Linked DNA regions of Oreochromis niloticus. Each later gene encodes a partner of the first gene's protein in a complex. Links are inferred from orthologs where the notes say so. Each region holds a gene or a part of one and is shown in the gene's direction. Other genes may lie near its edges.

The links.
Region 2: the proteins of ranbp9 (region 1) and armc8 are in contact, whole or in part, in a cryo-EM structure (PDB 7NSC), measured with the Homo sapiens proteins. The link is inferred for Oreochromis niloticus from reciprocal best matches to the Homo sapiens genes RANBP9 and ARMC8. Residues at the interface, in NP_005484.2 of Homo sapiens: Tyr271, Gly298, His299, Ser300, Leu301, Gly302, Ile303, Asp337, Asp340, Tyr341, Arg343, Glu344, Thr347; in NP_001350870.1 of Homo sapiens: Gln245, Arg246, Asp247, Val277, Leu278, Lys279, Ile317, Ile320, Thr321, Asp322, His323.

The regions. Positions count from the first base shown.
Region 1 is NC_031982.2:31,500,547-31,510,896, forward strand, and holds the start of ranbp9 (ran-binding protein 9), read left to right. Parts: upstream 1-5,455; 5' UTR 5,456-5,915; coding exon 5,916-6,132; intron 6,133-9,390; coding exon 9,391-9,502; intron 9,503-10,350. UniProt on the Homo sapiens protein: May act as scaffolding protein, and as adapter protein to couple membrane receptors to intracellular signaling pathways. Acts as a mediator of cell spreading and actin cytoskeleton rearrangement.
Region 2 is NC_031987.2:32,719,228-32,729,780, forward strand, and holds the start of armc8 (armadillo repeat-containing protein 8), read left to right. Parts: upstream 1-6,484; 5' UTR 6,485-6,648; coding exon 6,649-6,693; intron 6,694-7,006; exon of another isoform or gene 7,007-7,481; coding exon of another isoform or gene 7,482-7,484; exon of another isoform or gene 7,485-7,492; coding exon of another isoform or gene 7,493-7,528; intron 7,529-8,175; coding exon 8,176-8,252; intron 8,253-9,462; coding exon 9,463-9,534; intron 9,535-10,404; coding exon 10,405-10,547; intron 10,548-10,553. Other genes in the region: dbr1 (lariat debranching enzyme), read right to left, coding at 2,028-2,769, 3,749-3,894, 3,979-4,056, 4,158-4,382, 4,478-4,563, 4,650-4,730, 4,813-4,937, 5,033-5,247 and 1 more. UniProt on the Homo sapiens protein: Component of the CTLH E3 ubiquitin-protein ligase complex that selectively accepts ubiquitin from UBE2H and mediates ubiquitination and subsequent proteasomal degradation of the transcription factor HBP1.

The DNA.
Region 1 (10,350 bases):
CATCCGCCACTGCAGCAGTACATATCTGAAAGAAAATGAGAAAAAACACAATAGGTACCTTTAATGGAGATATAATATGTAAAACGCAACTGCAGATCAGCAGCAGAGATCTTAAACATTGTCTCTGAGATCTTAAATTTGATTTTAAACACACTCATTGCCTGTGTCAGAGGGACAAATCATTTTGTTCCGATTAAAGCCCTGCCAGCTAAAATGATTAATTCCCTCAAACAGAATAAAAGAAGGCATAATAATAATAATATTTGCTGATAACTAACATTAGAGGGAAAAGCAGGATCTAGCTGATATAATTAGTCAAACATTAAGCTAGAGTGTTTTTTAAGACGTGGGATCTCTGCTGTTAACGTCTGTTCACAGTGTACTGTATTATTAGTCTGAGCCACCAGATGGTGCTGTGACCATCCACCCCAACATCCACCTTCACTGCTGAGGTTTTGCTGGATGTCCTGTCCTTGCAAAAGTCTTTATTTCCAGTGTCTTTATTCAGGCTGTTAATCCTTGCAAAAAGATGTCAGCTAATGGGGTGACTGATAACTGACAGACCATCTCTGTTAATTAAAACAGTTAGAATCTGCTTCAGACCAGCTCAGACTGTTGTTTAAGATTTTGGTGCAAGTGTAACAGCAGTGTTTACACTGTAAGTTTGACAGTCAAATTAACAGTCATGTTTTCATGCTTACTTGGTATTGTCTGGAGTGGAGACGTCTGGAGAGATAACTGACTGAGAGACCCGAGTCAAAAACAAGCTGGGCTAATAAATGTGTATGAGGTGAATAACATTGCACTGCTATAATTTGTGGATTATTAAAATAATCTTGAACCTCTGATGCATGTTTTGTTTTACCTTAATATAATAATACAAATACAAACCTTTTAAAAGTGCAAAATTGACTACAGAATTACTCATGTTTTTATCTTAACATTACTCATACACTCAGAAATGCACTGGCCTTTATTTACAACTTGTCTTGCTGACCATACGACAATTTATTCCTCCTACATCTACAATTCTTCAATCTTCAATCCTTTGGATATGCACACAAGAGAGATGCAGGATGAAACTTTTGAATTTATCTTTAATTAAGAACATTTTCTTAAATGTTAAAATATAAAATTGTATTTTAACTTTAACTCTTTTGTATTTGCTTGGACACGGACTATCTTCTTATATTACACATGGAAATCTAGAAGAAATAGTGCAAATATGTACCTTTTTCTTCTGGTGCACATGCAACCACCAGCCACTTTATTAGATACACTTTACTGGGTTAGACTAGTTTTTGCCTTAATCATTTGTGGCATAAACTGAGCAAGGGGTTGAAACTACTTCTCACAGATTTTGGTCCATATTGACATGATGACATCACGCAGTTGCCGCATGATGAGAATCTTCTGGTTCTCCTGGTTCTTGTATCAACAGTTCAGGCATCCATGTTATTATGTTCCATCCATCCATTGTCAATCAGAAGTTGTCTTGACCACATGTTAAAGTCTCAATCTATTGAGTTGAAGAATTGGTTAATTAGATATTTGCATAAGCAGTTGAACAGGTGGATTTGGCACCAGGTGGCATTCCTGTCACAGCTCCAAAGGGTGCCTGCAGCTGGAACTGAACCAGCAACCTTCTACTTATCAAGTGAGTGTGTTAACTTCTACACCACAAAGAGCAAAAGAAAAGTGAAAGGTGCTCCTGGAAGTATATTATGTTCTGTCAAGTTAATTACCACTAAGAACTGAAAGCAATGGCAAATAATATAGACATATAAATAATATATCATATATATAAAATATAAACAATATAAAGTTTTTTAATACAACATTTTGTGCATGGGAAGCAGAAGCACAAAATAAAAGTGCTAACAAAAAACAAACTGAAGTTATTTCACATCATGCAATAAAGTACAGATTCTTAGTCACATAAACCTACAAAATCATAAATTTTTAATTATGTGTTTTAATTCATTTGATTAGTGGAAAAGCATAAACAGCATATTGTGACGTATACATATGCATACATACAGGGGCTTTATTACATCGCTCTACACAGCGTCACCAGTGGTTAGAAGGCAAGCTTTAAATACCACTTTATTTGATTATTCTGCTCTGAATTCCTTTTTAGAAACTTTTGTTCTTTATTTTCTTACAGTTTTATTCCTCTTCATTTTGCAACACCCAGAACATTTTCATGTAAAATCAGTACAAACTAAAATGTGATCAATATGGAATATTATAATGGATAAATACAGAATTAAATTACAAAAAAAAGCACTGAAGCTAAGCCTTGATGTGGCTCGGTTAACACAGGAAGAGGGTCAAACCCAGCAGAGCCCTTCTGTGTGGACTTTTGTTCTTACTTTCGAGGGTTCTGGTAAATTCTGTAAAAGAGATTCTTAATCACTTTCACTTCCTGGTTTAATATCGTTCAAAAGGATACACAAACCAGAGATTCTCAATGTATGGAAATCATTATTTCTGTAAAATATTGCTGTTGATTTAAAATACTTTGCTTGTACAAACTGTTTTTATAGCTTATTTTGCTATGCTCTTGGTTTATACTGATTCATTGATGTGTCATTAGCCTTTTTGTGTTTGAGCTGCTGAATATAAGATGATAAGTGAAAATATCCCTCTCTAAAAAAACAATAATAGAATAAATAGCTTCATAGTTTATAGATGAATACATTTTTCCCCACTGGTTTCAAATCCGAGCTTTCATTTCTGTTGCACTATTATTTATTTAATCATTTGTTTAAGACACTGAGGAGCTGTTCCCAGCACAATTTGTACCCATTCTGCTTCTACGGCACACGTCTTGCTGATGATAAACAGCCAAGGCCTAATGTGTGTGTTTTCCAGGGGATGTGAATGTGAGCAACTGCTTCCCTACAGGGAGCGTAACATCATTTCAGATTCCTTTTTAGTGATGCAATGAACATTCCCACATGTTGGCGCGAGGGACATTCACAGACCATGTGAGCCAAACAAAACAAAACAAAACAAAAAAAAACCCCTTTAGTTTATAACAGTGATCAGAGCTGCTGGAAACAAAAACAAGACAAAACACAATCTTTAAAACAACTGTTTTTAGTTCATTCACTGGCAGGCATGAATTATGTATTACTGCCAAGCTTTTGTTTTACTTTCTGTCTGTGTGTGTTTTGACTGAGCTGGTTTCCTTTAATTTAACTATTAAAATATCAACTAACAGGCTGGATTAGTGCTGAACTACACCCAGAGAGGCCCCACACAAAAATATTCTGTTAATTCATAGGAATTTTATTAGCTGCATGTCAGTTTAAAGTTCAAAACACTGATGCTAAATCCTTTTTACTGTAATGTTAATAGGCCCTTTAAAAAAATACAAGGTTAGGGAAAGATTATTACATAAAAAGACCACTTTAATCATAAGATACGACTTTATTAACACTGAATTCAAAAACCACCTTTCCTTAAACATTGGCTACATAATTACCCCTCACTGTCTCTGGCCTGTGTTTGTACAGCCACCATCCACCCCAACCACCTCCCTGATTAGCCCATAACATTTTCTCACAACAGAAAAACACTGCCAAATAGCAACACAAAATGGTAAGAGGTCATTTTTAGATACCAGAATGTCTTTTAATTTACCTGATACATTCATAGTACACATTGCAGAATAAATTCATGTTTATTTAACAGTTAGCGATTACATGAAGCACAGTAAACTCTGAAGAAAGTGCTAATATTTTTTCAGAGAAGGAAAGGACACTTGTACCTAGTGGAGGTCGGGGTTGGTGAAGGGTATTTGAATGGTAAAACCCGCCACTCCAACCTTAATCAAGATTTTGAACTTTTTGTTTATACCCTAAGCGTAGCATCATTAGTATCAACCTTTACTCCACCTTTATTACCTGTGCAATCTACTATATGTTGCATTCAGTTGCTGTTTGCAAGTTACATGTGCTGTAATTATGTTTAACTTCTGCCCAATGAGGGTACCAATATGTATTACCGGGGCATCACTGTTTACAGTGCAGCAAAAATAGAAATACAGGGATGTAAACTGAACATAGTTGGATGAAAATCCTTTAAACATTTGCCAAAAAAGCAATTTGACTAAATAAACTTCTTCATGTTAGCAATTATTTGATAATCATCTTTTATAAAGTAATACTGGTTCAGTCTTGTCCACAGTACAAAAAACAAAAAATCAATGTAAACAAAGAAATGTATTTTAATGAAGCAAACAGTCATTGATATAATGTAGTAATTAGATGTAAATCCGACAAATGAAGATTTCAAAAATTGAAAAATTAAATAAAATTAGCCCCAATAAAACCCTGGCTGTCAACATGTGTGAGACTGCAGGCAAAAATAAAAATGCAATTAATGTGCAGTACACTGTTAATAAACTAGAAGAAGGCACATCTATAGATATGGTGCTTACTGTGATTAATTATTATCAAGCTACTCTATATGCTCTCTGAAAATCCTTCAAGTGAGAGAAATCCTTCTAATGCTACAGAGTAGGGCTGGTGGAGGACCAGGGTTTTTTATTCATGTGGTTCCATAGTGGAGTGGTGTACATATTTGACAAACAAGTGTAAGATACCTGGTTTGATTCCAGGAGGAAATGCAAGGTGAATTGAACCACGAATCCTGACAAGACCTCCCTTTGGTGTTCCGGGTATTTGGTAGCCACCATGGCCCAATCAATCATGCAGCACAACTGGCCATGGTGACTACTTTTGAATATGGTGTAGCTGAAAGTAGCTTTGTTTTTGTTTTATTATCTCTCCATGCTCCTCTTTTCCGTATTTCCTTTCCATTAATCCCCCTACTTGATCACCACAGATAGCTGCCCTTCCCCAAGCCTGACTTGAAGTCTCTTTCCTGTTAAATAGGAGTTCTTCCTTCATATGGTTGCCAAAAGCTCTTTGTATGTTTGTTTATATTATTAAAACTGAAATAAATAATTAAAGTGACACCTTCAAATTGTGGTTAGCATGGTGGTTAGCACCTGGACCTTGCAGCAAGAAGGTCTTGGGTTCAAATCCAGCCTTTCCTGCCTCTCCTGTAGTTTGCATGTTCTCTCTGTGTCTTTGTGGGTTCCCTCTGAGTATTCTGGCTTCCACCCAAAGAAGTGGATAGGGTGGAGTAAGTGGTAGATAAAAGAGAAAAAAAAGAACTTCCAAATTAAGACCATATAGATTTTTCACCTTACATTGTCATAGGATATTAAAAAGAAAAACATATAATTAAATGCAAATCTAGTTTAGAAACATCAACAATAAAAAGGTAACAGTAATGATAGAGCTTAAAAACTGAAAACAATTATGATGACACTAATCATGAAGGCTTGCTGACAGTGTTAACCTTGTAATCTACTGATAAGATAGTTTTTAGCTCACTCTGTGTATTTACTTCACATTCCCATAGGAAGTGAGTGGAGCTGTTCTCAGCCAATCAGATCAGCGGATAATGCTCCGACAACAAACAAAAGATCGAGGCTAGCCGAGCTCATCATACTTTGTCGATCCGTCTAGGCTAACGTTAGTAGTTACTTTGCCCCCAGCAACGACTAGCTCCCTGTTTTTTTAAACTTCTTCGCTCAGATCCGGTGGGGCAGTCTCATCCTCTTGTTTCTATTTGTGTTTTAGTCAGACCTAATGTCAACCTGAGCCATTTTCAGCTATCGCTTCGCCTTTGCTGGCCAAGCTAAACGCGTTAGCCAGGTTAGCTGTTCGGCTAACCAGCTCTGGCTGCCTCTCTGCAACAACCAGCGAAGCCAATTAGCTTAGCTTCCTAGCTCGCTAGCTTTGCTAACTCCCCTTTAAAACTTGACACTGACGGACACAAGTGGTTCTGGCTTGTTGCTGACAAGCCAGTTTACTAAAACTCGTGTCGTAGCCATGTCTGGACAGTCATCCGGCGGTGGGTTTCTGATGTCGGTAGTTGTCCACGGAGACTCGGCTCTGAACGAGCAGGAAAAAGAGCTCAATCAACGGCTCCGACGGCTCTATCCGGCCGTTAACGAAAACGAGACTCCACTTCCCCGATCCTGGAGCCCGAAGGACAAGTTCAGCTACATCGGACTGTCTCAGAACAACCTCCGTGTACACTATAAAGGTATGACAGAAAGCCTTAATCGGGAATTTCTGTACTTGTGTTACCAAATGCTAACGACATGTTAGCTTAGCTTGACGGTTAGCGGATCAAAGCCAACTGCCGTTGAGGCTAAAAACAAAGTCTGCTAAGCTAGCAGCTTCACCAACAACAAGACAGAGGACATCTTGCAACCCGACCAGCTGGCGAGGTGTAGCCACAGCCAAAATTGACCTACTAGCTTGTTAGCCTTCCTGCTACCTTGTTAAACAGCTTGTCAGCTCCATTTATAGTCACGGGAAGCTTTCACGACAGACAACCTGGCGAACTATCTTATGAAATATATATTTTAAAAAATCATCCTTAGCCAAAGTACATCTGATGGTTTGAGTGCCAAAATTACAACGTTCAGTGTTATCCAAAATGAACCAGAGCTTGACAACCCTCTGTTAGGCTAATGTAGCATTATTTTATTTATTATTGTCAGGAAATGCTGTGTCAAATATCGTGATTAGCCCGGTCAGAGGCTCTGCTAGGCTTCCAGTGAAGTGGCTAGTGTTGATAGGATATGCAGAGATAGTTGGACTAGTTTCTTAGCAAGGCTACCAAGAGGGCTTTTTCTCTTTCTTTTCTTTTCTTTTTCTGGTGCAGGCCTACAAGAAAAGGCTAGTGGAGTTTTTTGGGTTTTTTGTTTTTTTTAAAGGTGCAACTGCTTCCTGGGTGTGTACTACTATTCTGGGTCTGTCTGGCCCTCTGCACTCACTCTTCCTTGTTGCAACTAGAATGTTCTGCCTTTGTGCAACAAATCCACCTGAATTTCTTACAGCAGCTGCAACTTAAACATTCAAACACTGTAAAACTTTTACATGTACTGACCTCCAGGGAGCATTTCTCCACTTACTGAACAGTTTATTCTAACAGCAGTGTTAAGCTCTAAAATTCAGGCCTTCTGTGATTAACCATGTTTTAACAGAATGGCATAGTTGTAAATGGAAACCCTTTGATTTTAGGTAGATGGTCGTGGTTCCAATTCCACATATAAATTCTCATATAAAACCCTCTGAAAAGATTGTTCTGTGAGTTCTACTGAAACTAAATGTCAGCTGTGTCCAAAGGCCTACCAGAAATGTAAAATACATTTGTAATGTAAAATAGCAAATACTTTACAAACTGAAATGTCAGTTATGTAAACATTTTTTAAATACACATATTCACAATTCACGTGGTTAAATGCTAATATTTAGTGGTGTAGTTGGCTAGAAAATGAATAATTCTTTGGTGGGTTAAGATTTAGTTTTGGAAGATTACAACGCACATTTTTCACCATTTATCTTTTTTCTGACATTTTATGGACAAAAAGCATAAATTTTATATTTGAGAAAATAATGTGTCATAGGTTAATACAGTAATAACAGAAAAATGTTATCAGAGCAAGAGAGAATAGCATTCGTGTTACTCAGTGATATAATTCACATTTGTACACCTCACACCCAAAAACTGTTTTAAACAGCTTTACTGTGCAGAAGTTTGTATAACAGACAATGCTTAAAAGAAGAGTAGAAAATCTACACAAGTTATTGTTCTGTAAACACTGTGTTACCAATTAACCGCTCTGTAATAATGTCTGTAATTAATGATAATGCTATATTAATACAGGTTATTTGTAATCACACTTAATAATTAACATGGTCGTTGTTTTTAGTCAGTACTGATTAATTTATTGATCGGTTCATTTACCCGACTCTAATGGCTTAGCTATTTTGGTTACAGATTAATAAGTTCAAGACTTATGTTTACCAAAAATGGAAACCACTGTTAATTCTGGGTTCAGAAGTGTAAGCTGATCATCTTTAAACTCTATGTAATTATAAAGATTAAATGATTGAGTTGACTAATAAATTAATTGAAAATAATGTTTCATGCCATGGTAAAATTTTAATGGTTGTGTTTTCCTATTGCTCTTTCGATCTGGGAGCCATATTGCCAGTAGAAAATTTGTGAAATGGAGGTGAGGTGTTTACTTCACTTGATCTACATCTAGTATATGTTTTTTTATATTTGAATGTGGTTCTGGGTATTTGGGAAAAAAAAAAAATTAAATTAACTTAACTGTGATAAGTAACCAAGTGTCTTTATTAAGACATACAAAAGCATTTAAAGAAATCTTTAAATTATGACTAATTGTATTGTAAACTCAGGGCCTGTATTATGGTCTGGACATACATTTGTAAATGTATGTTGTTTTTACATGAAGGCAGTCAGGTCAAGTGATGCTGCTGTTTATTGTTGATATCCTACATATAAAGAACCAGCCATTAAGTAAATATATTGCATATTGTCAGATATTCTGTTGGCAGCATACCTCACCAAACTGAGAATTTCCCTCTCTAATGATATTTAGACCCTTATTAATAAAAACCAGTTTATTTGACTATCTATTGTAGTACCTAAACACAGCTACTGAGTAACATACAGCAGTGTAAACATGTGATTTTTAACCTTCATGATGCTGTTAATAGCTCTACACTGTGGCTTCCTGAGCTAATGTTAACCTTAAAGACTGAGATTATGAGCCGCTCAAATTCATGACGTTTGGAGTGACAATCTTCTCACCAACGACACACCCTTTGCTTGTGTGTTTATAAAAATGTCACCTGTTATATTAGCATAATATTTCTCTATCACTCGGACAGTTTGAGTGATACAAACCTGTATATGTTTTTATAGTATGTTCATCCACATATTCTTAATGGCAGACCATTGAATGTGGAAAATATGTCACCATGGAAAGTAAATTATGCAGTACTTACAAGTAAAATAATGCATCTCGACAAATAGTGGGACATCCAGTATTTTCCTTCAGGCTGCTTTTATTTATAGATCCAGACTTGGGTTGTAAAATTTTTATAGTGTATTGTCTCTGCAGAGTCCCTACCTCTCTTCTGATCCAATCTCAATGTAACTCTGACATTATTTTCTCAGTTTATATCTATTTTTTCCATTGGTGGGTAAATCTGCTAGTCAGGTGTGTTTTGTGCTTCTCAAACGTTTTGATCCGACTTAATGATTGCTAGCCTTTGCGATTTAATCCCTTACACAGCTTCTCATGGCAACAAACCCTACATACATCGTAAACTGGGCTTTAAATTAAAGTGATATTTGGTCCTTAGCCAGAGTAACTGCAGAGAGGCCTCTCTGTGTCTTGGCACTCAGCACATGTATCTCATGAACTATAGTCATTTGTACTAACTGCGCACTTCTGTGTTTTACCGCAACCTAAAGGTCATGGAAAAACACCCAAAGATGCTGCATCAGTGCGGGCCACCCACCCTATCCCAGCTGCCTGCGGGGTCTACTACTTTGAGGTGAAGATCATCAGTAAAGGCAGAGATGGGTAAGACCAGCTCTAAACATTCCAGACATGCACATTACTTTCAGCAGTGTTAATAGTTTGGGCTCATAGATGACAGTGAGTGGTTCATAAAGTGGTTAGGCAAACTGTCGAAAAATTTTCAAACTGGCAACCAGCATTATTTGTGGTTATTTTTGTTTGAAACTAGACAAAAGCAATAAGAAGAGGGGCCATGAATAGACAAACTTGATCTTAGGTGTGGTGGCCCACTCAGTGTATCAAATAATAACCAATAAAATGACCTACAATTTGTTCAAACTTCTTTTAGAGTAAAACATTTAATAGATAGCCTGGATATAAAACTGACTAAGAGCCTGCGATGTCTTCCAAAAAAATAAGTGCAATTTTGCCCCATTCAGCAAAGCTACTCTCATTACAGCAATGCACAAGCAGCTCATTGTCAGATGCTGCTCCTCACTCTTCTCTGAACAGAGCAAATGAAGAGCGAGTCATGTCTGCAGCAGGAGAGAAAGATGCTGTGTTCACGAGGAAGTAGTGGCAACTGTTTGTCTACAAGTAGGATACAGTCTATGGCGACAAATATTGTTGACATATATACTAAATGGTAAATGTCCTGTATTTGTATAGCGCTTTACTTAGTCACTAAGGACCCCAAAGCCCTTTACACTACGTTCAGTCATTCACCCATTCACACACACATTCACACACTGGTGATGGCAAGCTACATTGTAGCCACAGCTGCCCTGGGGCGCACTGACAGAGGCGTATTAAAGATAGGCATAGCGCTGCGGTCCTAGAAACTGAAACCAATCAAAGTGCCTTAAAGCTGCATTCTTTTTAATGGCCACCAGGGGGCAATCCTTGTGGTT
Region 2 (10,553 bases), on another chromosome or scaffold:
CTCGTCTCTTTCAATCAACTTACAGGGGGTGAGCCTTTACTCTGCATTCATCTTCCTGTTCAAGCAGAGAGAATAAGAGGACAGGAAGAACACAAAAAGCAAGCAGAGATGGAGGACAGAGACAGCGTTTCACACGTGTCTGTTGACCAACAACTCTGATTCCACATTTGGAAAGACACGGTATAGAGAAGACTGAGATTAAGAGGAATGTGGAAGATGGTGGCAAGCCTGCTGTAGTATTTAGCACTAATTGTGAAATTTCTTTCGTGTTCACTCTGCCTTGCATCATTTTCAGTCACAGCTCCGATTGGCACAAACTGAGCAGCACATGTTGCCGAGTGTCCCGAAAGGAGAAAAAAGGGCCGAGGCATTAAAAGAGACTGCAGTCACCCCCCCAGAGTTTGCAGCTGCTTTGAATAAATACCAAATTGAACCCCGGGAATGATTTTGAACCCCTCTGTCCTACCCGACCCTCCTGTGGCTCAGTTTGTATGACACAAGTCAATTCATACCTATTTAATGTTCCATGCTCCTACTTCTCTTGGCTGCAGACTGATAAGCTCCAGCATCTCTGATTCCTCCCTTATTTAGTCTAAATGGTAACCCAAAAAGTTAAGATGTGAAGTAAACATTTCAACTTCTGACACGTTCTGAATTAGTGAAACTTGCTTTGCAAGTCTGAGAATTATTTATTGAAAGATTGAGGTACATTCAGTTAGTGTGAATAAGCTTGCTGTAGCTCTTTACAGCAGTAATATACACTGGATGTGAAGTGTATAACTATGACATGGACAGAGTTACTAAATCGTTATTCTGATTGGCATCTATAGCTTTCAATCTGGAAATGGTGTTCCCAAATGTCAAGGAATTGCTTAATTTCCATTGTCCTCCCTGTTTGGTTTCGAGTATGAGGCTTGTAATAAACCTCCTTGGTCTGGAGTATATCTGCACATGTTGTGTTCAGCTTAAATGACATAACTGTTTCCTTTACCTTACTAGAATGAGCTGTGTGCTCAGTGGCTGTCAAAGGCTTGGCTGAAGAAAATTAGGAAAGAATAGATTAAAAAATACACACAAAAAAAAACAGAAGTGCCTACTCCCCGTTTTCTTTCTGTCAATCATGTTTGGGGCTTTCTTTGAGTGTGTGCTTTGCAGACAAGGCACAAGACTACTCCCTGACGTTGGTTTGCACCATAAACCAAAAACCTGGCACCCCGTCATTAGGCTATACTGTACTGGCTCTTTGTATGGATGTAGAGATCCTGTCGAATACACTGTATGTTAAATATTGTCTTAATTTCACTGAGAATGTTTGTTGATTTTTAGCAGAGCACACTTGTGAACCTGGAAGGACTCTGATCAATGTTATAAATCAGTGGGATTTAAACACACATCTGTGTCCAGAGAAATCTTTTCTTCGGCTTTATTTTCACATCCAAGCATTTTGATGAGGAAAACTGAAGTCTCATTAAAACAATTTTCAAATAGTATGCAAATGGAAGGCTTAAAAAAAAAAGTGCAGCTCTTCTCAACACTAACAGCTCATTATATACAAGAAACGGCATCCACTGTCATTGTTCAGTGTTTTAACGTAGGTTCAGTGGTCTGTACGAGTAAGATGACAAGTAATTAAAACAAAGACTTGCTTTTTCCATCAGCACCTACGATATGTAAGTGTTCAATAAAGCTGTGAAGTCATTATTCTGTTTTAAAAAAAAAAAAGCTGTTCTCATCTTTCTGGCCTCTTTAATCATCTTGAAATTACAATGTCAGAAAAAAAAAATCAATGTCCTAAAAAATCTGGTTGGCTTAAAATACATAAAAATCATATTTAAACAACGAAACATTTTTGGTGGGTATAATTTCTGTGGAAACTGAATCCAGAAACTAATTCTCTTTGCTTGTGTACAGTCCACCTTTACGGGCATTTTAATAAAGCCATGCCCCTGCTTTGAACAGCTCGTGTGAGTAGCTGCAGGTACATAAATTAATGAATATAAACTAATGGAGAAGTGTACACTGCCTATCTATCCCTCACACTCATCATCCTCCGCTGCTGTATAGATCACCTGGTTTCTGCGTTTGATTCTTGGAGTTGGGCCTCTGCTGCCAGCGTCCCCACTCTCAATGCTGGTTCGTTTTAGGATGCGTGCAGCTGTGACGTCCTCATCGTCGCCGCTGCCCTGTGCTGCCCTGTCTGCTCCAAACTGAGCGTGAGCTGGGGTAGAGTGGGAAGGAGGCGGCAGGTTCATGAGGTCGGGCAGAGGAGGGGGCGAGACGCCGCATTTGGGCTCGGGTAGAACCATACGGCTGGGTGTGTGGATTTCACCTGCTTTGGCATCAAAAAGCTCGTCCCCTTTCACCTCTGCTTTCAACTCCTCCTCCTCCCACTCGTCTTCTATGGTGATCTCATCTGGATTAAATGAACCTGACAATCCTGAAGTATCGGTTGGATACTCGCTGGGCTCGTCAGTACTTCCCAAACTATCTTCATCTTCGTCATCGTCATCCTCTCCTCCAGTACTGCCCTGAACTCTCGCCACCTCATCTTCTCCCCGCCCGACCTGTGCATAGATGTCTGTGAGACCCAACTTGGCGCAAAGCTCGGTGGTCTGAGGGTTGGTGTTGTAGCTCGGGGTGGCCTGAGGATGGGGCTTGTTGGGGTTGTAGGATGGCACCGTTAGACTGAAGTTGTCTGGAATGCCAAGATCACCGCTCAGATCCTCCACCACCTGCATCATAGCGGCTTCTGAAGCGCTGAAGTCCCACCTGATGGGTGTATGCAAGCCAACATTATAAAAGAAAGCATGAACAAAAACTGCTCAGTCATAATGAGTAAAAGCATCTGAAGCAAAGGTCAGCAGAAATGACAAAATAAAAGTTCTGTTGGGTGGTGGTGCCACTGAACTCATGCAACTGTGGTGTAGTTACTTAGTGCTGGGTTCAGACTACATTATATTTCTGCCTGTCCATAAACCAATAACATGGCAGCTCATTATTAGGCTACACAATACTATCTCCCTGTATGGACGCAAAGACACTATGTGAAGTATTGTTTTGGCATCACTGAAAACATGCATTGAGCTGATTTAAGCAAATATTGGCGTCCAGAGAAATCTTTCCTTCTGCTTTATTTTCGTTACCATCTACACATACAAATGTATTTCCATGACTAAGCAGTGTGACACACTACAAATTGCTCCGCGCTCAGTTGTGCTTGCTGGCTTTGGGAAGAAGGAAAAGAATGAAAACCAACAGCTGAAGCAGTGAGTTTCATACTCCCTCTCTAACTTTCACAGGTCTAACTAGCTGCACCAGCAACTTCATTCTTGTTCTGTCGTGACGTTGTACACAGCTGAGCACTGTAGTTTAAAAAAAATTCCAGTGACTAGCTCTAGTGCTCCTATTGGTTATTAACGTTTTACTTGCGCTTCAAAAAATCATAAAAGTGGCATTAATTTGTGGAGAACATGTTGCCAAACAAAACATGCAAATATCCAACTTGTTTTTCCCATAGAGCTTATTTTTGTTGCTTATTTCGCCAAGGCAACACAGGTGGTGATAACATCCTACACAGATCCTGTCTTCCAGAGTGACCTTTCCCCTGCTGCATGACACTGACTCTATGTTCAAGCTAATGTTTTTACAAAGTCTTAGTTCTGGGAGACTGATGTTGTTGAAATAATGCAAGCAGCAACTTAACTCTGCTTTTACAGGCCTTGTTACTTTTATGTGTATTCGTGTGTACCGTTCATGCAAGCCATTATTCTCTGGGGGGTTCCAGGGGTGAGGAGTGGTCCTCTGTAGAGTGTTGGTAGCCTTGAGAATAGCAAGCCACTCTGGATCATATTCAAGACCCTCAGATGAACCTGGTCTTTCAGGAATATCCACAATCTGAAAAAACAAAAGGTGTTAGCTCACACACTTTAACCCAGACTCTGATCCTAATATATCAATTAAAAAAAAAAGTTGTCCCACCTGTAAGAATTCCCTGTGGGGCAAACATTTATCCAGAGACAGGAATTTGGTTACGTGTGGTGCACTTTTACCTTTAGGCTGAAAATAAGAGATCACCAAAATGATAGTTAGAACGATTTAAACCTTATTTAAATCCTTATTAGCAGCAGTAATTCTAACTGAACAACTGTCACCCTCACCGGATGCTGCATAATGGCAGCAAATTTCACATGAAGATGCGCAGAGAACCAATAGCTAGGCTGGAGGTGAGCTAGGAGCTCCTCTGCAGCAGGACTTCCCAGAGAGTTTGACTCCACCTCCTGACGAAGGAATTTCTTCTTTCGTAACAGCTCCTTCGTGCTGCCGTAGTAGTAGATTCCACGAGGCCAGTCATGGCTCATGAAAATGTCTATGGGCATCTGGATCTTAGCAGAAATAATCATGTAAAATTAACACTGTACATTTAGCTAAACAAGTGGATAATCATTTAGAGTTCTGTGGAAGAACTTGTGAGATTTACCTGTTTTAATTTGAAAACCTCGATATTTCTGATGTGGTATGCACTTCGAAGCGTTTCAGGATTATATGGAGGGAATTCATGGTGGCCTTAAAGTGAAAACATTCCATGTAAATATGATGCATAGCAGTGTAGCCTCAACTATTTGAAAAGCTAAACAAACAAAAACAAATACCCTTTCTGTAGTCACGTGATTTGAAAATGCCAGATAAGCCACCAATTCTGATCCCTTTGTAGCGAATAACACCAGCATAACCTGGGGACATGTGATTATATAGGTCAGGCCTGTGGCGAGTCAGACAAGCTGGCAAACAAATTTGGAATCAGTCAGTCTCTACCTAGATAATAAATGTTTGGTGCCACCCAGCCTCCATAAGGCAGCTCTTGCAGGTGATTGGAAGCCTCGTGGTTTCCTCCAATGAAAATGGTCAACACCGGAGCCGCCTTCTCTCCAGAATAGTACCTGCAACACAGACAATAATAAAGTTTTAAATGTCCTTACTCGTGTCTTTGATTTAAAAAAAAAAACAAAACACACAACATAAACAAAGAACTTACTTGTAAAAGGTCTGCATGGTTCTGTACTTGGCAGGCACTGCCATGCACTTCAAGTCTCCCTCATTTCGCACTGCCTGGAAGTCTCCACAGCAAAGCAGCAGGTCCACCTTCACCCCTTCCTTCTGCTCCAGATACTCAATTGTCTCATAAATCTTGTCCAGCTCCCCATGGCAACAGCCTTCTACTGCAATTTTCATCCTGTGCAAACAGATGATCTGCCAACGTGCAGAGAAATTCACATTCACACTAAAGGATGGCTTCTGTTCTCATCTAAACACCATCGGCCTCTGTGGACACAGTCAAGCTGAGGTCCACGGCCTCCTAAAAGATGATTTGGCAGTCTATAAAGACATACAATGGTGATGATGATTACTTTCACTTAACACACAATTTCGCTAAACTCTAGTTCTAATATACATTTCAGTTGCGATTTTTTTTCTCACATCTAGTTGGATTATAGTTTTAGTTGCCCTTTAATCACACAGTGGAAAGGGACTTTAATAACCTATAATACGGTGTTGGATTATCTTAAACAGTGCTAATGAATTACCATGTGACTAAAGCTATCCAGGAGCAATCGGGTAGACACCCGTTTAATTTTAGCGCGTGAGCAGAGCTCCTGATGGACTGTCATGTTTCATTTTTCTAGAAACAATAAATTAAATGAAAGGTATGCGAACTGAAGATGACCCTAGCACCTTTTTTTAACACATTAAAGACTCAACAATGCACGCTGCACCGGGGGGTAGCCCTTGAATACGTGCAGTAAGTAGTGCACGACACTTTTTATTTTTTATTTATTTTTAATCTGACAAATGTGTCCCATCTTGCTTTTAAGAATCCTCTACTTCGTATCCTCACACTAGGAGCTCAGGTCCTACGATACAACACGCAACAGCTAGCTAGGCTACGTAATTAAGCGAAACAACTCGACAGCGTACATGGAGGAAATTTGTTAAACCAGAGCAAAGTAAACGAATTGAGTACTTACAAATATGGGAGTATAATTAACGAGTATTTTGAGCCGGTTTATAATCCATAAAGTTGCAAACTTGTGCAAAAAAACATGCTTATGTTTGTGGAAGAAACGAACAGAATGAATTTTCCCACCTCGCCTCTACCAATACGAGCGCATGCGCAATTCTTCATCAAATTCTAGTATCTAGCAGTAGATTCCATTATAAATGTGTAGAATTATATTACTATACTTGTTGCTAAGACTTGATTTAAAAATATATTGTATTTTAAAAATTACCGTTTTTATATTTATTCCTTAATCTGATGCATAGTTCGCACGAGTCAACCTACTGTGTCGAATCAAATTCAAGCAGACAGCAACTACGTCACGTTTATAAACAATATTTACTTTATTGACAAGTCCACGGTCTGTCAGAGAGCTCGCTAAGTTAGCGGTGTTGGTTTTTGTTGCATATCTGCTACGGGACATCACAGCTGAGCCTACGGAAGAATATAGAGGCCTGTTTTAGAAATAACGCTAGCGAAGAGTTGTGTGATTAGGCTACAGTTACTTTTTAAAGGCCTCTCAAAGCTGCTCTGGGGGGTGGAGTGTCTCCAGACTGCTGCGCCGATTGGGGCGCTCCATCGGAGGAAGAGAGATGGCGTGCTTATTGGAGGCCCCACTCCGCATCAGTGTGCTGTCTGTGAGTGCCAGTCTTTATAATTTCAACTAGCAGTGTCAGGTTATAGAATGCAAGCGCCAACTGCGAGTAGCTGATTTTGTATGGTCAGCTAGAAGGTGTCAAGTATAAAGGTTTTTCTGTTAGCCATAAAGCTAAGTTAAAGGCATTGCAACATGTAGCGGTCCGCCTACGTAGCTGTTGTAGAGAATGACTTGTTTCCTCGCGTTCCCCGGGCGGGCGGGAACATTCTGAACACAATAAAGGGAATACATGCGAGTTGTGCCCGCTCGCCCCGTCGTTGTAATCTAAAACAAAATTAAGCGAACAAACTAGCTGTCAGTGTTACTCGGAATGAGTTAGCAGCTAATTGCTAAGAGTACCAGTGCTGTCACCAGTTTTGCAGTAGTCAAAACACGTTTATAGAATGCATCATGCACATTGGATAACAAGTTGTAGGAATGAGATTTTTATTCAAACCACTCAGTATTATTTGATTTTAAGTTATGCGCCGTCTTAATTGCAATAGCAAACTTAACATTGTTAACCTAGCTAACGTTAGGTGCTCCTGCAAGTAACATTAGCAACTGTAGCATACGGTTAAGCTAGCGAAGCAAACTTTGCTAACTCACTGGTTTCCTTACTCTTGAGGTGTTTTTATATGTAGTGTGTCGGCAGTCAGAGCTGTAGTAACTGGTAAGACTCTGGGATTTACTCTAGCAAGTGACACTCACTGCAAACTGTAACTTGGCTAATATAACGCAAAATGTTCCACGAAAAAGCGCGTAAGGAGCAATAGTGAAACGCCCCCCATGGTAGGTGTATGCAGAAAGGAGGCAGCGTGATTGAAGATATCATGGTAACTGATACTTTAGCATCTCAGCTTGACTCTTTTTTTTTTTTTTTATAACACGAGTTGATCCCTTATTGTGTATACATGCTTAATGCTGTGTAATTGTGAAATGAATGTTTGCCACAGTGGCTGTCTGAATGAGAGGTACACAGGTACAGAACGTGTTGGGACACCTTGTGAGCTACGTGCTGGCATCACAAGTGTGACTTCGTTGGCAGCTGGAGGACGTTGACTTCTCCGGAAAGTTCTGGTCAAAGCTGCCAGTGATATAAACAAAGTTTTCTGGTGTCGCATGCAGCCACCGGGTGCAGTGTCAAAAAGCTTTTAAAGGCTCCTGCCGTGGAGCCTGCTGTATTTTTCTCTGCGTGTAACACAAAAAGTGTTATTTTAGTTGTAAAAAATAACAATTTAAAACTGCCCTTTTTATGTATAATTAATTATTGTTTATTTAATGGTTAATATTTGTCCAGTTAGAAACCAAATTCCGTAGGGTTTTACTCTGCTGAAATATGTGCACTTTGTCTGTTGTCAGATGTGGAGCACAGCGTTTGATAGTGTAGAGAAAAAACACTGTACAAGGTAAATCCAGGGTGAGGTCAGTGATTTCTAAAAGTAATGTTTGTGTTTTTGCTTTGTTTTTTGTTCTAATGCAGGAAGTCACCGCCACCAGTCGGCATTATGTTGACAGACTGTTTGACCCCGACCCACAGAAAGTGCTTCAGGGAGTCATGTAAGTGTGGGTCTGATCGCGTATGACATATACACATGTAGATCAGGGTTTTTCCTGTGTCAGAATAGTTCTTATGTGAATACACACAAAAATACTGTCGCACCTTATATAGGTAAGGCAAGAAGTCTGTGCATCTTATAGAGTTTTTTTGTTTTTGTTTGATGCACAAAATGCAAACTTGTAAATTAAAGTGAAGTCTTACATATATTTTTTTCACAGTTTTCATTAATTCTCTTGGTGAAAGGCCAAAACCTGTTGGGTGGGTGGAGACATTGCAGAAAAATCTCTGCGTGTCCTGTTTTGTTTGTTTTTGATCTTGTTTTAAATTTTGTTTTACAAAGTGCAGGAAAAAAGGGTTGACAAGGTTTGAAGTAATTTTTTGGCAGTAAATGACAGCTGTGAAATTCTGCTTACTTCCAGTTTGCAGACTTTATTCAGCCACTGCAATAACACATCTTTGGGCTTTCCTGATTTTTTTTTTTTTCTTTCTTTTTTGTTGAAAATGAACGAAATCGGTGGTTTAAAACCCCCCCAAAACAAACAGTCCACACTGTTATGTTAAATTCAGCTGTTGTTGTTGCTAAGAGTTTAATTCCACCGGCTGTTTATCATTTACCAACACATGTGCTTGTTTTTAATGTCACAAATTCTAAACATTAGTGACAACAGTGTTCCAGAAGGAGTGTGTGCTTACATGCACAGGCTTAGCTGTTTGTGACTTTGTGTCTCACTCTCACTCTTGGTCTGGACTGCTGTGATTTGGACTCGGACTATTTAGTTATTTTTAACTTACGGGGAGACTAGCTCTGGTTACGACTTGTATCGCTTCTTTAGCCAAGCGCCTGACCACCTTAACTGCCTCCTAGATCAGTGTGCTTTTCCACTCACTTCGCTGCAGTTTGATATCACATATCATCTGGAGGTACTAACAGCAGCAGAAGCACACAGGGCGAAAATGCACTTAGATGAAGCCTGTTCATTTCTAATGTGTTACATGAGAATATGTAGAACATGAGATTGATATCAATGATTTCTGTTGTTGTTTGTCTGTCAGCCTGCCTGACCTGTGTCAGCCTGATGTGCTTATAACTTAGCAATTAAATGATAACATGCTATAAATCAAGGTGTTCATATTGACTCTTAAGGTTATATTATGTTGTTTCAAATACATTCACATGTCTCATTTGGATGTATTTGTATGCCTTCACAGTGACATGAAGAACGCTGTCATAGGAAACAACAAGCAAAAGGCCAATCTGATTGTCCTCGGAGCCGTGCCAAGGTATGAATCCCCGCGCCTCTCACACGCTCCTGCTCTCTACTTCCTTCTTTTGGCCTTTGGAAAAGTCATTCTAATGCACTTACATGAAGCTGTTGGAACATGGCACACTTACCCTCTTGTTTCTGTGCCTCCAACCAAATAAGTTGGACCACATTAAAAGCACTTATGGTGCTATTGAAGTCCAGTGGTTTTGCAACCCCCAACCTCTTTGACATCATAACAGAGCATGAAACTCACCACAGTACATTACCCCAGCCATCCTCTGAACCCATTTGGTCACAGATACAGAGTAGATGGATACTTAAAAGGGTCTGTTAGGGCCAAGTTTATTTTTACCCCCAGGTTCTACATGCTGATGTCTGTTTTGTTGACAGTAGTGTAAAGTTGTAGTTCATAATAATATGAAACTACAGCACAGCTGTTAAAGCTATGCAGTATAACCTGGTAGTAAATTCTGCGATGTCTTACAGGTTATGCAGGGTTTGTTTTTCTGTTGAACCGGCTCCCAGGTTGGAGTTGGGAGACAGATGCCCTCTCTAGGCAAAGGCTAGAAAAATAGGCTGCTGGGGGCTTTATTTGTCTGTTTCCACTTCCTATGTATGGTTCTGCCGGAGGTTTCTTCCTGTTAAACGAGAGTTTTTCCTTTTCCATTGTCACAAACTGCTTGCTCATGGAGGGGTCATCTTATTGTTGGGATTTTCTATTGTAGGTTCTTTGTCTTACAGTATAAAGTGCCTTGAGGTGACTGTTGTTGTGTTTCAGTGCTCTGTATATAAATTGCATTGGATAGAAGTGATAAGACTTTATTCAACTGTCTTATTAAAAACCTACAGAAACCCTGACTGTGCTTCCCCCCTCTGTTGGCTCCAGGTTATTATACCTGCTGCAGCAGAGCTCATCCAGTATGGAGCTGAGGACAGAGTGCGCTGTGGTGCTGGGAAGCCTCGCCATGGGCACTGAGAACAACATCAAGTCCCTGGTGGACTGTCACATCATCCCTGCCCTTCTTCAAGGTTGGG